3 linked regions of the Elephas maximus indicus genome follow. The protein of the gene in region 1 purifies or fractionates together with the protein of each later gene. This does not show direct contact. Links are inferred from orthologs where the notes say so. Each region holds a gene or a part of one and is shown in the gene's direction. Other genes may lie near its edges. The genes, in order: CAV1, KCNA5 and TRPC1.

Region 1 (7,405 bases):
AAATCATTTAAAATACTCAAAGTGGAAAGATCCAAACCAGAGAAGATGCTATGGGACCTTCAAGCCTGAATAAGGATAACCAAAAACCTGTTGCCATTGAATTGATTCCAACATATAGCAGCCCCATAAGACAGAGCAGAACTGCCCCCATAGGATTTCCCAGGTTGTAATCTTTCCGAAAGCTGATTGCCACATCTTTCTCACGAAGAGCCTCTAGTGGGTAAGCTACTAAACCACTGCACCACCAGGACGCTTTGAATAAGGATAGAAAGGCTTAAAGGGTGTGACAAGCCTTCCCCTAGAAAACCAGTTTTTCCCACTTTAAAATGGCATTCAGTGGTGGGGGAAGGGGGAATCGGGGTGTGAAGAATAGTGTAAGGTGTGTGGGGTGCTAATGGTGACAAACAGAGTAAAGATTCAGCTGAACACATAGGTTGTAAAAATACGGACAGATTTATGTGCCTTCATGTAAACAGTCACTGCTCCAAAATGCCTCACCTCCCTGCAGCCCTTCTCCTGAGCCCTGCACCCCATGATCCAGCAACTAAAGGAAGGACTAATGCCTAGCCAGCAGGATTCCAAGACAGCTACAGTCCAGAATGACTGATCAGTGGCTCTGTCATACTGGTTATTAAAGGTGTTTCCTATCATTCCACATGATAGCCCCTATTATAATCTCTTTTCTGGACTAACTGACAAAAACGTATTTGGAAATTGTTGGAAAGAAATCTGTTTCTTAAAACTACTAATACCATTGTAAGTGGTCAAAACTTGGACTCCTTATCACCTAATCCTAGAGTGGGAATTAGATGAAGCTAGCTAAACATTTTTTTTTTTTAGCTGAACATAGGAGTGATGCGAACAGTTAAGGACACTCAGCTGCTAACCAAAAGGTTGGAAATTTCAGGCCACCCCGAGGTTAGCCTTGGAAGAAAGGCCTGGTGATCTACTTCCAAAAAATCAGCCATTGAAAACCCTGTGGAGCACAGTTCTACTCTGACACACCTGGGGTCACCATGAGTAGGAGCCAACTCCAGGGAAACTGATTGGAAAGTAAAAAAGAACTCAGGATGGGAAGGATGGGAAGAGGAAGTCGTGACAGGGGGAAAGCGGGCTCAGAGAAGGAGATGAGAGAACACAAAAACAGCTAAGTTCACGTCAGAATTTTGCCCTGACTATACTACTTGAATACAGTCAAATTTATACTACTGTGCTATTTAAATATCATCAAATTTATACTGCTGTACATAGTCAAATACATCCCTTAAGTTAACTGCTGCTGTTGTCATTTATCAACTTTAAAATGTTTCATTACCCAATAAACCTTCTAAAGAACAAACAGTTTAACATATTTCAATACCACTTTCCTCATCTCTAGGATGGTTGGACCAGCTGATCTGTGTCCCTTACATTTTTCTCGTAAACTTTGATACATGAACTGACCTTTAATCCTACTTCTAAAAAAAAAAAAGTAATGAGAAATGAGTTGCCATCTACCCAATTCTTAGTAAATGATTTGGAGAAAGCTATTAACTTACCTCCAAGCATACAGTTATCTGTGTGAGTATCAAAGAAACAATATTTTTATTTTTTATATCATGTAGTCATTTCAAATGGTGTTCTCATGCTAACAATGTTCTTCTTCGTCTTTTCTTTCTCATAAAGGTGGAGCTATTATTCAAAGTTTGTTATTATAACCAGAATTAGATCTGTTTCTCTCTGGTGCCAGCTTCTTGTTGAGGCAGGTTAATAAGGAGTTTGTGGTTTTTCCTTTCATTAGGAATTCATTTGGCATTGACAACGCTTCACTGATCATCACGATTGCAGCTGTTAATTCACCGTCTCTGTGGACTTACCCCAGCAGGCTTGGCTTTCCCTCAGTGGAGTGCTGGTTAAGCATTCACTCAACAGCCTCCCAAGAAAGTCCTTTCCTTGCTGGAATGCAGGACAAGCTCTCTCCGTGTTCCTCTTGATTTTTTCCCCCCACGGTCAAAATTACTCATCCGCAGCTGAAGACTGAGTAACAATAGATGGGAAATGCTTTGGACATTTTTCCATAGACCATAACCCCAACTGTTTTGTAGCAAATATTTATGAAGAAAGAGTTAAGCCAACAGTAATCAGTAGAGGTAGACTAGTCACTACACAGCATATTAAACCTGGCACCATCCTTTGCTAGCATATCATGTTCTTTAACACATGATTTGTTCAAAGAATTTAGAAATGCAATTTGGCAGAAATAAAATGAAGAAAACCCAACTTTTAAAAGATCTTCAGCCTTCTAGTGATGAATAACCAGCATACCGAAAGTCATGCCAACATTCGTGACACTTTGCCTAATATTCCTGGTTGAAATAGATCTTTTTAATTAAATATTGTGTTGTCTTTTTGCTACCATCAATAGCCTGTCCTTTATGGTTTCCTTTTCATATGTTCATACCTTTTTCTCTCCAACTAGATAATCTACTTTGTTATGATTCTATTCTGTATCTTCCCTTCTCCTCCTCCTTTTGCCCACTCCTTTATTCCCCTTTCTAGATTGCCAGTGTTTTTAATTAACCTGTGACCTTTTAGGTGTATTCCCAGCTTTTTTACCTTTCTAGATTGCCAGTGTTTTTAATTAACCTGTGACCTTTTAGGTGTATTCCCAGCTTTTTTACCTTAAGTGAAAATCGACATATATATGTATACGTCAATTATAACGTGAAGTAAATACACACGTATATAATTGACTTTTAATTACATATGTAACCTTAGGGAAAAAGTTCTTTCCATTTTTGGATAGTTTATTTCCTGTCTTATTATAGCCAAAAAGTAAAATGAGGAGTAGTTTAATTCATCTTGTGCTGCTTATGATAAGGTAAAGAGAAGTCGCAATTGGGGGACAGATAAAATATTTTAATTGCTGACAAGTTTTTAAAAATTCCCGTATCAGTTACTAGGTGTCTCAGTTATCTGGTGCTGCTCTAACAGAAATACCACAAGTGGGCGGCTACAACAAACAGAAGTTTATTGTCTCACAGTCTAGGAGGCTACAAGTCCGAATTCAGGGTGCCAGCTCCAGGAGAAGGCTTTTTCTCTCTGTGTAGGTTCTGGGGGAAGGTCCTTGTCAGCAGTCTTCACCTGGTCTAGAACTTCTGAGCGCAGGGATGGGGTCCAAAGGACTGCTGCTCCTCTGGCTCTTGCTTCTCGTTGGTATGAGATCCCCTGTCTCTCTGACGGAGTCTCTCTTTTATATCTCAAAAGAGATTGATTTAAGAGCCAATCTGATCTTGTAAATTGAGTCCTGCCTTATTAACATAATGCCGTTAATCCCGCCTCATTAAAATCTTAGAGGTAGGATTTACAACACAAAGGACGATCACATCAGATGACAAAATGGTGAATAATCACACAATACTGGGAATCATGGTCTAGGCAAAACGACACACATTTTTGGGGGGGGGGACACAATGCAATCCATAACACTAGGAAACCCAAGTTCCCCCTAGCTCACAGCCCGATACGTTTTTTTTTTTTTTTTAAATTCTTGTCTGGTAATAAATTCCAAGCTTTAAACATTTCTTTACCGTTAAATATTGTATATATTTTGTAAATATGGCATAATCTATTGGCATGAATTTTCTTTGTTCAAGAAAAGAGCAGTAGTAAAATTAGAGAAATGTCAAACATTTGTATTCATTTCAAAGCATTTGGGAAACATTTCAGAAGCGGTCGTGAAACATCAAATTGCGCGTGCCGGTTTATCCAAGTTGCTATCCACGCCGCCTAGACGTAAACAAGTGTCACCAAAAGCACACACACGTGCACCACTTAAATTCCTTCTTGTGTCTCGATGTGAAATACACCTAAAGGTTTCGAGCCACTCTTCACCCGTTCCTCTGAATGGTGGAGCCATGTTTCTCAGGAGGCGATGAAAAGTGGGCAAGGCGAAAAAGGGCTTGGAAGAGGGGAGAATTCCTTCCGACGGCTCGAGTGCCCATTCTGGGCATCTCTGCAGGCCGGTCGGCTGCGTGCACCCCCACCCTTGCTCGGATGATGCACTGCGAAAGCATTCGCTGTCCTCAAGATGCCTCTCGGTGGCTCATAGCTAGGAAAATGTTGCCCCAGGTTTAAAACATCTGCCCAAACAGCCCTCCGCGCGCTCAAGCTTTCCCACTCGCTCTCCGCTCCCTGCGGGCCCTCCCCGCCCTCTGCTGCCAGAACTTTGGGGATGTGCCTAGACCCAGCGCCGCGCACGTCCTGGCCAACCGCGAGCAGAACAAACTCCTGGCGCGCGGCCAGGAGGCGCGCTCCCAGCCACCGCCCGCCGCCAGTGCCTTTTTTTCCCTCTATACAATACAAGATCTTCCTTCCTCAGTTCCCTTAAATCGCAGCCCAGGGAAGCCTCCTGAGAGCCTTCATCCAGCCACCGGCCAGCATGTCTGGGGGCAAATACGTAGATTCCGAGGTAGGCTGCGGTCCTGGGCGCGGGGCGCACGTGTAGTACCTGTGCCGGCTATGTCCTACTCCACATATTCCAGCTGCTTTTCCAGCCCCAGCCCTCTCTTGACTTTGGGGCACTCCTCGCGCGTTGGCACGGCTAAGGAATGGACCTGGGCGGGGGAGGCGAAGAGGAGCCAAGAAAGTTTTCCTGTGGGGCAGGGGGCAGCGGGGCCTCTGAGCTAGGGGAACGCGGAAAAGAGGGTCGGGGTCCTGAGGTTGAGTCTGCCGGCCCGAGAACGCATTTTCTGGATGTGTCTGGGACGCTCCCTTGTCTCGGGCCCCCACGAACCGGCCCCTACCTGTTGCGAGGCGGGGAGCTGGAGCACTGGGCGGGAGGATGGAGAGGGCGGGAGGAGGTCGTTTACTCGCAGGCCTGGGGACAGTCCCCGAGAGTCCCCGCCAGGCGCCCGGACCGCTTGCCGTATTTGCACTTTCCAAAGCTCTTGGGCTATCTCAAGAACTCTTCCTGCATCTTGGCGCCCGGCAGGGGTGTTTGGAGAGGAGCAGACCGCGCTCTCCGCCACTACCACCACCGCTTGCAACCACCTCCCCACGTCCCGCATCCTCCCGGGTGTGGAGAATTCGTTTTCCCAAACGCACAAGCGGTTCAGTCACAGGCCTGCGGTCTAGGAGTTACCTGAGGGTGGGTCGGGGGAGGAGTGCGAGTGAGATGTTGCTCGGATGGGGAATTTCGGGGGTTCGGCACGTGGCTCGGCCCAGAGACGAGGGGATACGGGACTGTAACCACTATAAAGGAAGGGGAAAACTTGGGGGGGGGGTCAACAGAGGGCAGAGGTAGGGTGGGGCACGTGGGCAGGTGCGAGCTGTCAGGAAACAACGAAAATGCGAAGACGAAAATGAGGATAAACTCTTAAGGATGAAACTGGAAGGGATTATGGAGAGACGGGGATTATGGAGGGACTGGGGAAGGGCATTGGAGCAGGTGAAGCCTTCGGGGCGAGGGTGGTGTGACGGGGAGAGGGGCTGGAGCCAAGTCAGAGATCTGGGGGGCCCCCTCCCAGCTAGGGGTCTCCACCGGGTACTGCACGCAGGGTGCGCGCGGGGCGGGGGCCACGGCGGACCGGGCCGTGGGGTTCGCCCTGACCCCTGGCGGCGGGCGGGGGAGGCTGGCGCTCCCTGCCTGGTACTGAGGGGTGTGGTGTCCTCGCCTGGATCCTCTTAAAAAGCTTGCGGCGCCAAAGAGTTGACTCTGCGCGGAGCCGCCGCTGCCGACGCGGTTAGTTCGATTTCAATCCTCGAGGTTTTCCTCACAGCCAGGTTAACTTCTGCTCGCTTGTTTTTCTTTTTTAAATTCTCTTGCCACCACTGGTGCCACCCTCTCCCTCCTGGCCGTCCGCGCTCCACAGGGACATCTCTATACCGCTCCCATCCGGGAACAGGGCAACATCTACAAGCCCAACAACAGGGACATGGCAGAGGAGATGCACGAGAAGCAAGTGTACGACGCACACACCAAGGAGATCGACCTGGTCAATCGCGACCCCAAGCATCTCAACGACGACGTGGTCAAGGTAAGCGGAGGCGGCAAGAGGGGAGGGGACGTCCCTAAGGGGCCGCTGTCAGGGCCTGGACAGCCCACCCCTGGCAATCAGCCTGTGCGTTCTTTTCTAGCTTTGCCACACACGCCGTTTTCTAGGCTGGATGTGTGGGAGCGCGTGCGGTTGTTAGAAATGTTGAAATGTCACATCCTCCCCGCCCCCCTCCCCACCACCCCCCGCCTTGCTTAGTTCAGCTGGAATTTAGTTAACTTGAGTTTTGTAGCCCATATAACTGCGCTTTTCTTCTGGTAAATAGCCTCCTGACCTCAGCAACAGACAGGCTCAGATTATTTGGGAAGGTGAGATGGCCACGTTATAAGAGACCCTCTCGATTTCCAGGTCGGAGTCTAGTGCAATCTAGTGAAGGGTGACACCCACCGAACATGGAATTAAGGTAGTAAGATAACTGTGTAAGGTCATGTGCCAAAGGTGAGAGCAGAATACAGAATGGGCAGCCCACTGCTAAATACCCTGAAGTGATTTTCTTAAAAATAATAAAGTGGAATAATATATAAAAAAAAATATATATATATAAATAGGTCCCCCCAAAAACAAAACATATATAAATATATATATTACTGCGTATATATACACGTATATACACACACAACACACATATATAATCCAGTGCCCTCAAGTCGATTCCGACTCATAACAACCCTATAGGACAGAGTAGAACTGTCCCATAGAGTTTCCAAGGAGCACCTGGTGGATTCAAACTGCCGACCCTTTGGCTACCACTTAACCACTAGGCCGCCAGGGTTTCCACACACATATATATACAAACATACACATATATTTCTGTATATACTACATTTATAATTATAATTGAGGGAAGGGTATTTCAACTAGAAAAGCATGGCGCCTGTGCACAGCTAAGCAACTTTACAAAAACAAACTACTGTGCACCTCTTGATTTCTCCTCTAGACACCCCTCGTTAGGTATGGAAAGATGCTTCTTTAGTGGCTAACAGGTCAGCCTGCCCTGAGCTAAGGGGATACTGGGGTTGGGGTTCCTTCTTGTAATTTCAGGATATGTTTAGTAAGACTAAAAATAGATTGAATAAGTTATGCGCAAACTTATAGCTGGCTCAGTGGTCAGTTTTTTGGTTACTATTATGTTATTCAACTTTGACCCATTTTAGCAAATCTAGTCAGAGGAATTTATTGTCTGGATCTATCTGAATTGAGAAATCGTGGGCCTAAGCCATCCTTGGCAGAGGGCTTTCTTTGAGGGACATCGAGGGCCAAGGAAAGGCCTGACCTCTTGGTAGGAGTATGAAGACACCGTCCTGCACAGCCCCAGAGCAGCCAAGGGGGTCAGAAATGGAGCAATTTCCATCCATCCCCTGCCTCCTATT
Region 2 (7,723 bases), on another chromosome or scaffold:
AACTCAAACCTCCAACATTTCAGTTAGCAGTGTTAACCGTTTGCACCACCCAGGGAGTCCCTGCATTCCTAAACTACAAAGGTTTACATGTCATCTCAGCTATGTACCTGCCCCCTGCAGTAAGAAACTAAAGCTCTTGGGTCAGATGTTGGGAAGAGGGAGCATCTGTATATGGGAAGGTGGTATGCCTTTCTATAGACGCAGTGGAGTGTAGGGAGCAAAGACCTAAACTCTGATTGTAGTTGTTGTTAGGTGCCGTCGAGTCGGTTCCGACTCATAGCGACCCTATGCACAACAGAACAAAAACTGCCCAGTCCTGCGCCATCCTCACAATCGTTGTTATGCTTGAGCCCATTGTTGCAGTCACTGTGTCAATCCACCTCCTTGAGGGTCTTCCTCTTTTCCGCTGACCCTGTACTTTGCCAAGCATGATGTCCTTCTCCAGGGACTCATCCCTCCTGACAACATGTCCAAAGTATGTAAGACGCAGTCTCGCCATCCTTGCTTCTAAGGAGCATCCTGGTTGTACTTAGACAGATTTGTTTGTTCTTTTGGCAGTCCGTGGTATATTCAATATTCTTCACCAACACCACAATTCAAAGGTGTCAACTCTTCTTCGGTCTTCCTTATTCATTGTCCAGCTTTCACGTGCATATGATGCGATGGAAAATACCATGGCTTGAGCCAGGCGCACCTTAATCTCCAGGGTGACATCTTTGCTCTTCAACACTTTGAAGAGGTCCTTTGCAGCAGATTGGCCCAATGCAATGCGTCTTTTGATTTCCTAACTGCTGCTTCCATGGCTGTTGATTGTCGATCCAAGTAAAATGAAATCCTTGACAACTTCAATCTTTTCTCCATTTATCATGACCTTGCTCATTGGTCCAGTTGTGAGGATTTTTGTTTTCTTTATGTTGAGATGTAATCCATACTGAAGGCTGTGGTCTTCAATCTTCATTAGTAAGTGCTTCAGGTCCTCTTCACTTTCAGCAAGCAAGGTTGTGTCATCTGCGCAACGCAGGTTGTTAATGAGTCTTCCTCCAATCCTGATGCCCCGTTCCTCTTCATATAGTCCAGCTTCTCGGATTATTTGCTCAGCATACAGATTAAATAGATATGGTGAAAGGATACAACCCTGAGGCACACCTTTCCTGACTTTAAACTAATCAGTATCCCCTTATTCTGTCCGAACAACTGCCTCTTGATCTATGTAAAGGTTCCTCGTGAGCACAATTAAGGTAACATACCTTTCTGGTATTCTCTGCCTTCAGCCAAGATCCATCTGACATCAGCACTGGTATCCTTCGTTCCATGTCCTCTTCTGAATCTGGCTTGAATTTCCGGCAGTTCCCTGTCAATATACTGCTACAATCAATTTTGAATTATCTTCAGCAAAATTTTACTTGGATCACCTTTCTTTGGAATGGCCAAAAATATGGATCTCTTCCAGTTGATTGACCAGGTAGTCATCTTCCAAATTTCTTGGTATAGATGAGTGAGCACTTCCAGCACTGCAACTGTTTGTTGAAACATGTCAATTAGTATTCCGTTGATTTCTGGAGCCTTGTTTTACGCCAATGTCTTTAGTGCAGCTTGGACTTCTTCCTTCAGTACCATTAGTTCTTGATCATATACTGCTTCCTGAAATGGTTGGACATTGACTAATTCTTTTTCGTACAGTGACTCTGTGTATTCCTTCATCTTCTTTTGATGCTTACTGCATCGTTCAACATTTTGTCCATAAAATCCTTCAACATTGCAACTCATGGCTTGAATATTTTCTTTAGTTCTTTCACATTGGGAAAGGCTGAGTGCGTTCTTCCCTTTTGGTTTTCTAACTCCAGGTGTTTGCTCATTTCATTATTACACTTTGTCTTCTAGAGCCACCCTTTGAAGTCTTCTGTTCAGCCCTTTTACTTCAGCACTTCTTCCATTTGCTTTGGCTACTCTGTTCAAGAGCAAATTTCAGAGTCTCTTCTGACATCCATTTTGGTCTTTTCTTTCTTTCCTGTCTTTTTATTGATCTTTTATTTTCTTCATGTACGATGTCCGTGATGTCATTCCACAGCTCCTCTGGTCTTAGGTCATTAGTTGTCAATGCATCAAATCTATTCTTGAGATAGTCTCTAAATCCTGGTGGGATATACTCAAGGTCATACTTTGCCTCTCTTGGACTTGATCTAATTTTCTTCGGCTCCAATTTGAACTTGCATATGGGCAATTGATGGTCTGCTCTGAAGTCAGCCCCTGGCCTTGTTCTGGCTGATGAGACTGAGCTTCTCCATCGTCTGTTTCCACAGATGTAGTCAGTTTGATTCCTATATATTCCATCTGGTGAGGTCCACGTATATAGCTGGTGTTTATGTTGCTGGAAAGGGTATTTCCAATGCAGAAGTCGTTGGTCTTGCAAAGTTCTATCATGCGGTCTCTGGTGTTGTTTCTATCACCAAGGCCCTGTTTTCCAACTTCTAATCTTCTTTGTTTCTAACTTTCACATTCCAATCACCAGTAATTATCAATGCATCTTGATTGCATGTTTGATCAATTTCAGACTGCAGAAGTTGGTAAAAATCTTCAGTTTCTTCATCTTTGGCATTAGTGGTTGGTATATAAATTTGAATAATAGTTGTATTAACTGATCTTCCTGGAAGACATATGGATATTGTCCTATCACTGACAGCATTGTACTTCTGGATAGGTCTTGAAATATTCTTTTTGAGGATGAAAGCAATGCCATTCCTCTTCATGGTGTCATTCTCGGCATGTAGACCATATGATTGTCTGATTGAAAATGGCCAATACCAATCCCTTTCAGTGCACTAATGCCTAGGATATCAGTCTTCAAGTATTCCATTTCATTTTTGATAGCTTCCAAATTTCCTAAATTCATAGTTTGTAAATTCCACGTTTCGATTGCTAATGGATATTTGCAGCTGTCTCTTCTCATCGTGACTGGTGCTATATCAGCACGTGAAGGTCCGAAAGCTTTACTCCATCCAAGTCATTATGGTTGACTCTACTTTGAGGAGGCAGCTCTTTCCCAGTCGTCTTTTGAGTGTCTTCCAGCGTGAGGGGCTTATCTTCCCGCATTATATCAGACAATATATATGCTGCTATATATAAGGTTTTCACTGGCCAGTTTTTCAGAAGTAGATTGCCAGGTCTTTCTTCCTAGTCTGTCTTACTCTGGAAGCTCTGCTGAAACCTATCCACCCTGGGTGACCCTGCTGGTATTTGAAATACTAGTGGCATAGCTTCCATCATCACAGCAACATGCAAGCCACCACGGGAGACAAACCAACAGATAATAATGGCACTTACAAAATAGGGAATAATAGTAGTTCTTACAACATAGGTTAAGGAGCCCTGGTGGCACAATGGTTAAAGCGCTGAGCTGCTAACTGAAAGGTCTGTGGTCCAAAACCAACAACAGCTCTGTGGGATGAAAGACCTGGTGATCTGCTCCCATAAAGTTTATGGCCTAGGAAACGCTATGGGGAAGTTTTACTCTGTCCTATTTTTTATAGGGTAGCTATGAGTCAGAACTGGCTTTAAAGCACACAATGACAACAACACCACAAAATAGGTTGCTGTGAGAAATACAAGACTCAATATTTGTAAAGTGCTGAGAATGGGCCTGATACATAATAAGAGCACGTAAATGCTGGTTGCTATTATTCTGCTCCTGGGAATTCTCTAGTGTGGATTCTGTAACCTCCCTGGCTCTCAGTCATAAACTCTGCCTCTGCAGACAAACTTGCTCCATTTGTAGCTCTGTGCTTCACCAGCGGAAACAGTCCTTCCCAGGATCTCTTCATCCCTCCTCTCCTTCCCTGTTAGTTTTTTGCAAATAAAATTTGGTGGAGAGAACAGAAGGGCTGTGTGTCCTTTGGGTTATGTGGCTAGGCAGTCAATCTGATGAGGCGGCTTGCCTGGGATTGCCTGCCTGGGTCTGTCCTGGCCTGGCACCTCAGTCTGGATTGGGAATCAAGGCTACTGACAGGGGAAACCCTGGTGGCATAGTGGTCAAGTGTTTGGATGCAAACCAGAAGGTTTGCAGTTCCAATCTACGAAGAGCTTCTTGGAAACCCTATGGGGTAGTCTACTCTGTCCTATAGGGCTGCTAGGAGTTGGAATTGACTCCCTAGCAATAGGTTTGGGCAGGGGGAAACGCCAAGATTTCAGCCGCGTGCCTTATTGTGGGTTTAGCTTCTGCACTAGTCTGGAGAGTGTTTATTTGTTTAATTATTCAAAGGCCAACATTCTGCCACGTCCGCTCCCTCCCGCCTTCCCTCCCCCATTCTTCCCATAGATGGGATACCACTATTCTTCCAAAGGAAAAATTTAAAACTGTTTTCTCCCGTCTCTTATACGCTGACCCAGCTCCAAGCCTCATGCCTTCAACGCAAGGCAATTCATTTCCCCTAGAGTCCACTCGGCGTTCAGCGGATTCCCAGGTGAACTGAAATCCAGAGCTATTCTCATCTGGTTGCCCTGGGAGTTTCAGCGCTCTCGGTACAACCTGTTCCTCCATCCTCCCCACTCCCTCCCTCCCTCCCTCTGCCCGGCTGCGCCCTCCTCGGCCCCCCTCCCTTCCCTAGCCCGGGGCCCCAGCTGCGCCTTCCGGGGAGACACCCGCTGCCACGAGACCCGGGAAGGGAGGCGGGAGGAGGAAGAGGGGACGGGGGGAAGGAGGGGAGCTGCCGAGGTTGGAGGTCGAGCGCCGCGCAGCCAGAGAGGAGCGGCTGAAGGTTGCATCTGCGGGAAAGAAGCTTTTTGGCTGCTTGGTAACCGGCTGCCAGAACAGAGAGAGAAGCAGAGAGCAGGCCAGCGGCTTCTTGACGTCAGGGCCAAGCGAAGGGATCTTGCCAGCCAACCCAGCCCGCCCCAAAGTGGGGCCGGCCAAACGACCCGCGGGGGAGAAGCCTGACGCCAGGCGCCCGGAGGAACGTGAGCGGGTGCCACCGGAGCCGGTCGGTAGGGGCTCAGCATGCCCCCTGCCCCTGGGCCATGGAGATCGCCCTGGTGCCCCTGGAGAATGGCGGTGCCTTGACCGTCCGAGGAGGAGGTGAGACCCCTGCAAGCTGTGGCCAAGTCACAGGGGGAGAGCTCCAATGTCCCTCGACGGCTGAGCTCAGTGAAGGAAGCAAAGAGCCGGCACCAAGGGGGAGCAGCGCGCAAAGGGACGCAGACCCGGGAGGGCGGTCTCTGTCACCGCTGCCCCGGGAGCTGCCGCAGCCTAGACCACCTCTTTCGGAGGACGAGGAGGGAGAAGGCGACCCTGCCGTGGGCATGGCAGACGATCCGGCGCTGGGCGTTGGGTCCCTTCTCCACCAGCGCGTCCTCATAAACATCTCCGGACTGCGCTTCGAGACGCAGCTGGGCACCTTGGCGCAGTTTCCCAACACCCTCCTGGGGGATCCGGCCAAGCGCTTGCGCTACTTCGACCCGCTGAGGAACGAGTACTTCTTCGACCGCAACCGGCCCAGCTTTGATGGCATCCTCTACTATTACCAGTCAGGGGGCCGGCTGCGGCGGCCGGTCAATGTCTCGCTGGATGTGTTCGCGGATGAGATCCGCTTCTACCAGCTGGGGGACGAGGCCATGGAGCGCTTCCGGGAGGATGAGGGCTTCATTAAAGAGGAGGAGAAGCCCCTGCCCCGCAATGAGTTTCAACGTCAGGTGTGGCTTATCTTCGAATACCCGGAAAGCTCTGGGTCCGCTCGGGCCATCGCCATCGTCTCGGTTTTGGTCATTCTCATTTCCATCATCACATTCTGCTTGGAGACCCTGCCTGAATTCAGGGATGAAGGAGAGTTGCTCCGCCATCCCCCAGTACCCCACCAGCCTCCTGCTCCTGCCCCAGGTGCCAATGGCAGCGGGGCCATGGTGCCTCCCCCTGGCTCAACAGTGGCACCGCTTCTGCCTAGGACCCTGGCCGATCCCTTCTTCATTGTGGAGACCACGTGTGTCATCTGGTTCACTTTCGAGCTGTTGGTGCGCTTCTTCGCCTGCCCTAGCAAGGCCGACTTCTCTCGGAACATCATGAACATCATCGACGTGGTGGCCATCTTCCCCTACTTCATCACCTTGGGCACCGAGCTGGCAGAGCAACAACCAGGAGGTGGAGGAGGTGGCCAGAATGGGCAGCAGGCCATGTCCCTGGCCATCCTCAGAGTGATCCGCCTGGTCCGGGTGTTCCGCATCTTCAAGCTCTCCCGCCACTCCAAGGGGCTGCAGATCCTGGGCAAGACCTTGCAGGCCTCCATGCGAGAGCTGGGCCTGCTCATCTTCTTTCTCTTCATTGGAGTCATCCTCTTCTCCAGCGCCGTCTACTTCGCGGAGGCCGACACCCAGGAGACCCACTTCTCCAGCATCCCGGATGCTTTCTGGTGGGCAGTCGTCACCATGACTACTGTGGGCTATGGGGACATGAAGCCTATCACTGTTGGGGGCAAGATCGTGGGCTCTCTGTGTGCCATTGCTGGGGTCCTCACCATCGCACTGCCAGTGCCCGTCATTGTCTCCAACTTCAACTACTTTTACCACCGGGAGACGGACCACGAGGACCAGGCAGCCCTTAAGGAAGAGCAGGGAAGCCAGAGCCAGGGGACAGGGCCTGATGGTGGAGGCCTGCACAAGGCCAGCTGGAGCAAGGTTTCCCTTGGCAAGGCTGGGGGGTCCCTGGAGAATGCAGACGGAGCCCGAAGGGGCAGCTGCCCTGTAGAAAAATGCAACCTCAAGGCTAAGAGCAATGTGGACTTACCGAGGTCCCTGTATGCTCTTTGCCTGGACACCAGCAGGGAAACAGATCTGTAAACCAAGATCAAGGCAGACTGGGATGGGGGGAAGTGGGGTGGGGGACAATGTAGGTCTCCTGAACCCGGGTCTCTACTTTTTACCACAGAGTGTTTCAAGCCTACCCTGTAGCCTAAGTTTGCTCCCTCTTTCTCTCCCTCCTTCTCCTCCTCCCTTGACCCCCCATTTTTCCTCTTCTTTTTTTTTTTTTTCCATAACACCAAGGGTCGCCTATTTTTAAAAAGTACCACATTCCATGACGCAAGAGCTGTTGAAATGGTGAGCGCTGTGAAATGGCTGTATTTGTAGCCAGTTTCCTATACCCAGCAGAGGGAAAACCCAAACAAAAAATGACTTTAAATAGCCCAGATCCCAAGAGATTTTGTAAGCTCCCCTCATCTGTGTGTTCCAAGTTTGCTTTACATATGATTATATTTGTGTATAGAGGCAAATCTTATTTTTATGACTGGCAAGTGGATTTTGTACTGTAGTTCACCTGGAGATATTTTGGATATATTTTCATGACATATGTTGTGTTTACGGAGGAGAGAGTTGTTTTTCTGTGATACTTACATTAGAGCCAGAGATGCTGGTTGGCTGTTCTGGTTCCCGGGCCCTCAAGCCTCTCTTTTTTGGGATGTGGTATTGATGCTCCGTGTCTCGCCAGGAAATACTCTGGGAAAAAGGCAAACCTGACTTTTCTGTGCGCCTTAAACAATTCTCATAACTTTCTTCAAAAAGGATTTTAATGATGGTGGAGGCAGACTTCTGATAATTCATTCTCTTTATTTTTATCCCAGGAAATAAAATGTTACTTGGTTGAGGCAAGTGTTAGTTTTTCTTTAGCCGATGTATTTTTTTTTATTATTATTTTTAATTTCTCGGTCTGCCACTTGCAGTTTCTGGTTTTGGAGTCAGAGCAAAT
Region 3 (8,021 bases), on another chromosome or scaffold:
GACAAATCTTTCCCTTGTATCTTTAGTTTTCTTCATTCTTCCTTGCTCCCAAAGGGGTGAGACCAGTGGAGTATCCTAGATGGTGCCTCACAGGCTTTTGAGACCCCAGATGCTACTCATCAAAGTAGAATGTAGAACATATTCTTTATGAACTATGTTATGCCAGACGAACTAGATATTCCTGGCGATCATGGTCCCCACAGTCCTTGGCCCAGCAATTCTGTCCCTCAGGGAGTTTGGATGTGTCTATAGAGCTACCATGACCTTGCCTTGTACAGGTTGTGCTGGCTTCCCCAGTATTGTGTACTGTCTTACCTTTCACCAAAGTTTCCACTTATGTATTGTCTATTAAGTGTTTTTCCATCCCCACCCCTCCACTCCCTTATAACCATCGAAGATTGTTTCTTTTTATATGTAAACCTTATCATAAGTATTTATAGTAATGGTCTCATACAACATTTGTCCTTTTTGTGATTGACTTATTTCACTCAGCATAATGCCGTCCAGATTTCCTCCATGTTATGAGATGCTTCACAGATTCATCGTTGTTCTTTATCGTTGCATAATACCCCATTGTGTGTATGTACCATAGTTTTTTTATCCATTCATCTGTTAATGGGCATCTAGGTTGTTTCCATCTTTTTGCTGTTGTGAATAATGCTGTAATGAACATTGGTGTACATATGTCTGTCCATGTGATGACTCTTATTTCTCTAGGATATATGTCTAGCAGTGGGATTGCCGGATCATATGGTATTTCTATTTCTAGCTTTCTGAGGAAGCACCATATCGTTTTCCAAAATGGTTGTATCATTTTGCATTCCCACCAGCAGTGCATAAGTGTTCTGATCTCCCTGCAGCCTCTCCAACATTTACTTCCTGTTTTATTGATTTGTGCCAGTAATGCCGAGGTGAGATGGTATCTCATTGTGGTTTCGATTTGCATTTCTCTGATGGCTAGAGATCCTGAGCATTTCCTCCTGTGTCTGTTGGCTGCTTGAATGTCTTTTTTTGTGACGTGTCTGTTCATTTCCTTTGCCTATTTTTTAATTGGATTATTTGTCTTTTTGTTGTAGAGGTGTTGGATTTTCTTGTAGATTTTGGAGATTAAACCTTTGTCTGATTTGTAATAGCCATTTTTTTTCCCCCAGTCTGTAGGTTCTCTTTTTACTCTTTTGGTGAAGTCTTTTGATGAGCATCGGTGTTTAATTTTTAGAAGATCCCAGTTATCTAGCTTATCTTTTGGAGCTTGTGTATTGTTGGTTGTGGTTTATATCCTGTTAATGCCGTGTATTAGGGCCTCTAGCGTTGATCCTATTTTTTCTTCTGTGAACTTCATGGTTTTTGGTTTTATATTTAGGTCTTTGATTTATTTTGAGTTAGTTTTTGTATATAGTATGAGGTATGAGTCCTGTTGCATTTTTTTGTTTGTTTGTTTTTTTGCAGATGGACATCCAGTTTTGCTAGCTCCATTTGTTTAACAGACTGTCTTTTCCCCATTTGATGGACTTTGGGCCCTTGACAAAGATCAGATGACCATAGGTGGATGGACTCACATCTGAGTTCTCAATTCTGTTCCACTGGTCAATGTATCTGTCGTTGTACCAGTACCAGGCTGTTTTGACTACTGTAGCTGTATAGTAGGTTCTGAGGTCAGGTAGTGTGAGTCCTCCTACTTCATTCTTCTTCTTCAGTAGTGCTTTACTTATCCGGGGCTTCTTCCCTTTCCATATAAAGTGAATGATAAGTTTTTCCAACTCTTTAAAGGATGTTGTTGGTATTTGGATCGGGATTGCATTGTATTTGTAAATCGCTTTGGGTGGAATTGTCATTTTCACAATGTTGAGTCTACCTATCTGTGAGCGTGGTATGTTTTTCCGTTTATGTAGTTCACTTTTGGTTTCTTGCAGTAGCGTTTAGTAGTTTTCTTTGTATAGGTCTTTTACATCCCTGGTTAGATTTATTTCTAAGTATTTTATTTTTTTAGGGGCTATTATAAATTGTATTGTTTTCCTGATTTCCTTTTCATCACTTTCTTTATTGGTGTATAGGAATCCAACTGATTTTTGTACGTTTATCTTGTATGCTGCTACTCTGCTGAATCTTTCTATTAGTTCCAGTAGTTTTCTCTTTGAGTCTTTTGGGTTTTCTATGTATAGTATCATACCATCAATATGGGTTTACTTTAAAGGAGGAATGTCCCAAATACTTTGGTATGCCTCCTAGGATTATCTACTAAAGTAGGTTGGAATTCCCCCAATCTTTGGAAATTAACCCAGTACTTATGGGAGTCCTCTGGATAAGGAATCAATCACCTAAGCCCAGAAGCTTGAAAACGCATCATATTAAAGTAGTTTTTGAGTCAGCCTCCCCCCCCAAAAAAAAATTATATAGAGAGAATATTTATCCTAAAATACTCAGGAATGTCTGGATGAATTGGGGTTATTCTGCTACTGACTAAAACTTTTGTGGGACTACTAACCCCAATTCGTCTAGAAGTTCCAGAGAATTTATCCAGAGGACTCTCATAAGGACCGGATTAATTTCTAAAAGAGGTGTCACCCTGAGTCAGAATCGACTGGAAGGCACACAGCAACAAAGAGTGTCTAAATACACACACAGATATGCGTATAAACACTGCTTACTGGCCACAAGTCTACAATGAGTGATTTTGACATTCCACAAACTTGGAACTGTATTAAACATTATGGAATGGAGACTTACAATCTGGGTGGGGCATAGACAAACAGGAGCCCCGGTGGCGTGGTGGGTAAGAACACAACTGCTGACCAAAAAGTCAGCAGTTTGAATCCACCAGCCCCTCCCTGGAAACCCTGTGGGGGCAGTTCTAGTCTGTCCTATAGGATTGCTATGAGTCAGAATTGACGGCAATGGGTTTGGTTTTGCTATAGACAAGGAACCCTGGTGGTGCACTGGTTAAGCCCTTGGCTGCTAACCCAAAGGTTGATGGTTTGAACCCACCAGCTGCTCCACAGGATATAAAGATGTGGCAGTCTGCTTCGTAAAGAGTACAGCCTGAGAAACCCTGTGGGGCAGTTCTACTCTGTCCTGTAGGGCTGCTGTGAGTTGGAGCCCACTTGACAGCAGCGGGTGGGGTTTTACAGACAAGACAAAACAACTAAATGATACAATAGGTAATCAACTATTTTGAAGTCTGTACACACATAAAGATGCCGGGAAAGATGGGCAATCTTGCTATCTGCTAAGGCCTCTTACAGAAGATCTAGAGAGGACTCCGAATGATAGATTTGGGGCCGAAGGTGTTGGCAGAGATGAAACAAATCAACCTGAATGGAGTAGGAGGTTGTTGTTAAGGTGACATGGAGTGGATTCCAAGTCATAACGGCCCCATGTGTGCAGAATAGAACTGCTCCAGAGGTTTTCAAGGCGTGGCCTTTCTAAAGCAGATCGCCAGGCCTTACTTCTGGATGGGCCTGAACTGCCAACCTTTCGGTTAGTAGTTGAGTGCTTAACCATTTGGGCCCCTAGGGGCCCTGAGTAGGAAGTATTCCCCTCAAATATAAGATGCTGAGGTAAAATTGAAGCCGCCTCCGCGGCTTCCCCTGCTATGCTGCAGTTTTCCCCCTCCCTCCCTCGTAGCCCGCCAAGCCGAGGTTTCTAACTGCACCTTGGCCCAATCGCGCCGTTGGCCCTGCCCGTGGTTTGAATTTGGCACCGAAATCCCACGCATGCGGAAACCAAGATCTCCAGGCATGCACAGGACCTGAAGAGCCGTAGGCCTGAACTTGACCCCGACCTGAACTTCCCGGGAGAGGAAGGTGTACTCTGGCACACAGCTGCACCCAAGCCCATTTGCTGAACAAAATGTCCCTTCCTTTGCTAAATGAGTCAGCACCTAGAACTCCAAATATGGACATGGGAGGGAGCGGAGTGTTGGATTTTGGGTGCCAATCCCGCCCCCCTCCCAGGGACTGGAGGGCATAAAAGCTCCAAGCTCCCCTGGGGCTGGGAGCCTGTGGTCCTTTAGGTTGCTAGGTTCCACCTTGCTCCTTATTTGTGCAAACAATAAATTTCCACTTTGTTTCCCTTGCCACTGGTGGTGTGACTTCTGTCTTATTTTGATCCGCTAATAGGACAGGACAAAAACCCTCTTTCGCACACAAATTTATGTATTGCTTTAAAGCCTGAAATCTTAAGTGCACAATTAAGGTTTTGGTACAATTTGTCGTGGGAAGCAATAGTAATTATTCAAGAGATGTAACTTCCAGCTTTTCTCCCTAGCTTTTTAAGATGCAAGACAACAGCAATATTCTATAATGGATAATTTGCTTTAAATAGAACCTTGATAAAAAATAAATTATTCAAGGAAGTAGCACTTACTGAGCTTCAGTCAGCTTTTGCCTGAATAACAAGGCCATCTTTCAAAATGAAATTGATAAATGTAAAGAGGAACAGGAAACCACTGGAACGACTGTGATGGAGAGCAGGTCCTAAAAATACGCTTTGCCGTTGGTTTCATATCAGTAAGTACACTTGAATTCGTGGAATAAATAAATGTGTGACGCCAGGAATGGTATGGCAATTTCAGATCACAAGAGAGTTGTTAAAAAATACGGTCTTTAGAAATGAGGTAGCCAGCTCGATGTAGGTACGCAGATGGACACATGCGGGGCTCCCTCCTTTCAGCTTTAGGTAGCGTGCACCGGAATATAAAATGCTCTTGCAAAGGGCACGAGGGGTTTCGACTGAACGTTAAGTCGTCAGAAACTCAATTAGCATACCGCTGCATCTTTAGTGAATGTGCGCAGGAGACAGCGTGGAAACCGCCTGCCACCAGCAATTTCTGCGTGGAGAGGGTGGAACGGGCCGGTCCCCTCCTCTGCGCGCGAAGCAGCCCGCAAGCGGCCGGGGGGTAGGTGGGGCGTCCCTCGAGCCCGCCCCCCCAGGCCCCGCCCACCCCGAGCCGCTGGCCCCTGAGCCCTAGCTCGGCAGGCCCCGCCCCGCTGTCGTCGCTGTCGCCGAGCGCAGGATGACGTGAGGAGAGAGTCGCGAGCATCTCCTCGGGGCGCAGCTCGACCGCCGGCTCCACGGCCCCGGAGCCCGACGTGCGCAGAAGCGCCTCTCAGGGCTCCTCTCCCACCGAGCCCTCGTCCTCCACGCGGGCCGGGCCGCCTCCCACGCGGCCTCTGCGGCTCCTGGCACGGCCCCGCGCCCGGCTGCTGCCCTGGCGCGCGCCACCCTGTCGTCCCCGGACGGGCGCGGACCGGCTCGGCCGGGGCGCCGGCGGCTGGGAAGGGGGCGCTGGCCCCGGGCCCGCGCATGCGCCGCCAGCAACCTGGGGCTGTCTGTGGAGGGCGAGTGCTGGCTCCGAGGGGAGACGACACCCTGCGGGGCCAAGGGGCCGCGCTCCCAGGCGGTCGGGGGAGCGACTCACCCCTTTTCCAGCAGCGGGGCGGGGCTGGGGCCGGAGCCGGGGCCGCTGGGGGCCCCGCCCCCGTCCCCCGGCCTGCCCCCGTCGTGGGCCGCGATGATGGCGGCCCTGTACCCGAGCACGGACCTCTCGGGCGCCTCCGCCTCCTCCCTGCCGTCCTCCCCATCCTCCTCTTGGTCGCCGAACGAGGTGACGGCTCTGAAGAATGTGCGGGAGGTGAAGGAGGAGAACACCCTGAATGAGAAGCTTTTCTTGCTGGCGTGCGACAAGGGTGAGAGCTGGCCCCTTTCCCCGCCTTCGGGACGCCCCTGCCCTGCGCACCCTTCTTCCTCTCCCTGCCTCAGTTTACTCGCGGCGCACTTTTTCCCACGCGCCGAGCCTGCGCTCCCGCCGCGCTCGCTGCCTTGTCGGTGCCGCCCGCACCGCCTCTGCGCTCCCAGTGCCGGGCTGGCGGCGGGGACTGCTCTGGCGTGGCTTCCCCTCGTGCTGTCCCATGTTTAGGTAGCACCCCGAGGACCCGAACATGGGGGTCCTAGCCCCGGCTCTGCCTTGGTCTACCTCTCGGGACCTCAGTTCTTTTCTTCTGGGGGCCGAGGGGCTTTGTCTCCTTTCACTGGGACCTTCTAGTCCAGAAATTCCACGACCCTGCCTTAAGGTTTCTCGTGTTTATGGGCTCTCACTGGGTTTCGTTTTTTTTTTTTTTTTAAGATTTTACTTCTCTTATTTCGCTTCAGCTGCCCGGTGCCTTAGCCAATATATGTTCAGTGACTATTGAACGGAGTTAGGCATCTCTATATCATAGCTGGAGATATATGAAGTAAGCAGAACGGGAGAAATTCTGCCTTAGCCCCTAAAACTTTCTTCAGCCCTATGGAACAGCTTTGATGGTTCGAGCTGTTTTGGGAGAGAAAGGTTTATTGCTCCCGAGCCTTCTATGGGAAATGAAGGTAGTGCACAATAATTACAGGGCAAAAATATGTGGACTGTATTTAGTATGCTTTCTTTTTTTAAATCTAGAAATTGATGGCTTTTATGGCCATATTAAAGTCTTCATTGAAGCCTGCTTTCTGGTGATGCCTATAATAAAAGGAGTGGGAAGTTGATTGCCCCAAGACTGCTTTTATTTCCTACTTGTACAAAAAGCACTGAAAATTTTCTGCTTCTAAACTTATGTGGCTTGCTGTACAGTGGCCATGCTCACTGAGGAACACTTTGTTTAGAATAATGCAGACCTCCAAAACAAACCGAGGGCCGTTTAGAGTGCGGAAGTATCCGCTACGGAGGATTTTTCGTCTGTGCCCCTGTGGTTGCGCCTGTGTTTTTAATAAATGACCATCACCCTAACCTCCTTACTGGTTTTGAAAGAGGATTTTATTTCCCCAACTTTTTGAAAAAAACGTTGACATAAATAAGGTCTAACTACCTCTGTTGTCAATCCACTTTTATGTTCTTATGTAACGGTGTTAAATACTGTGAAAAGCATTTGTTAAAGTTCACCAGGGACACAACTTTGAGTAGTCTTGGAAATGTAAAGAAAAATAGCATATAGATCTGTAACCTCACAAAAGTTATGGCCTGTGGATTATGTAAAATTATTTAGTATTGCTGGAGTAGCTTGCCTGAGTCCTCGTTCCTCAGAAATTCTCTGCCAGAGGAGGAGAGAGATTGTGTGTTGTACCGGAATGAGCAAGCAGCTGCTGCACCCGCCCACGCTCAGTGTGCTGTGGTTGCAATAAAGCAAACGGAAAGTATGTCAAGAAAGGGAGTTTGATATTCCTGCCAAACTGAGGACAGAGGAATATCGTGATGGGATATGGCTGGAGTGGGTACTTGTGTATTTAGGAATACTACGTCACACATCTCAAAAGGGAGTTTTAATGTAGTCTATCCAGTAGTGCCAGCATAAACAGTTTGATATCCTTTGTCAATTCCCATTTTATAACATCATTAAGATCCTGGGAAAGATTTGTCTTTTGGGGATGAGGTGGAAGCTAAATATGCATGCTTTTGTTTCCCATTTACAGGAAACCCTGGTGATACAGTGGTTAAGTGCTACTGCTGCTAACCAAAAGGTTGGCAGTTCCAATCCACCAGGCATTCCTTGGAAAACTCTGTGGGGGCAGTTCTATTCTGTCCTATAGGGTTGCTATGAGTTGGAGTCGACTCGAAGGCAATGGGTTTTGTTTGTTTTTTTATATAAATTAAAAGTAAAAAAATTTTTAAATGATTGGATAAAATAAGTATTTCCTATGGTTCAGTATGTTGAAACAAGTTCTTGGATTAGATTTAGAAAAATGGCATATTTCTTATCCATACTTTATGGTATAAACTTACATTAAATAATAAACTTAAGTTATAGGAATGCATTTTTTGTTTACATTTGTATTCTCTAATATTGTTGAACTTTGTTGTCATTAGGTGCCATCGAGTTGGTTCTGACTCATGGCAAACATGTATACAACAGAACGAAACACTGCCCAGTCCTTCTCTATCCTCACAATCTTTGTTAAGCTTGAGTCCATTGTTGCAGCCACTGTGTCAGTCCATCTTGTCGAGGGTCTTCCTCTTTTTCGCTTACCCTCTACTTTACCAAGCATGATGTCCTTCC

Evidence for each region.
Region 2: the proteins of CAV1 (region 1) and KCNA5 purify together in Homo sapiens (affinity purification with western blotting, with the first as the bait; 3 studies listed by BioGRID). This does not show direct contact. The link is inferred for Elephas maximus indicus from reciprocal best matches to the Homo sapiens genes CAV1 and KCNA5.
Region 3: the proteins of CAV1 (region 1) and TRPC1 purify together in Homo sapiens (affinity purification with western blotting; 3 studies listed by BioGRID and IntAct, with this or other methods). This does not show direct contact. The link is inferred for Elephas maximus indicus from reciprocal best matches to the Homo sapiens genes CAV1 and TRPC1.

What each region holds. Positions count from the first base shown.
Region 1 is NC_064826.1:33,194,994-33,202,398, reverse strand, and holds the start of CAV1 (caveolin-1), read left to right. Parts: upstream 1-4,326; 5' UTR 4,327-4,420; coding exon 4,421-4,450; intron 4,451-4,930; exon of another isoform or gene 4,931-5,128; intron 5,129-5,852; coding exon 5,853-6,017; intron 6,018-7,405. UniProt on the Homo sapiens protein: May act as a scaffolding protein within caveolar membranes. Forms a stable heterooligomeric complex with CAV2 that targets to lipid rafts and drives caveolae formation. Mediates the recruitment of CAVIN proteins (CAVIN1/2/3/4) to the caveolae.
Region 2 is NC_064822.1:61,626,190-61,633,912, forward strand, and holds the start of KCNA5 (potassium voltage-gated channel subfamily A member 5), read left to right. Parts: upstream 1-4,699; 5' UTR 4,700-5,010; coding exon 5,011-6,819; 3' UTR 6,820-7,723. UniProt on the Homo sapiens protein: Voltage-gated potassium channel that mediates transmembrane potassium transport in excitable membranes. Forms tetrameric potassium-selective channels through which potassium ions pass in accordance with their electrochemical gradient.
Region 3 is NC_064841.1:17,106,832-17,114,852, reverse strand, and holds the start of TRPC1 (short transient receptor potential channel 1), read left to right. Parts: upstream 1-5,021; 5' UTR 5,022-5,509; coding exon 5,510-5,684; intron 5,685-8,021. UniProt on the Homo sapiens protein: Forms a receptor-activated non-selective calcium permeant cation channel. Forms a heteromeric ion channel with TRPC4 or TRPC5 that has reduced calcium permeability compared to the homomeric TRPC4 or TRPC5 channel.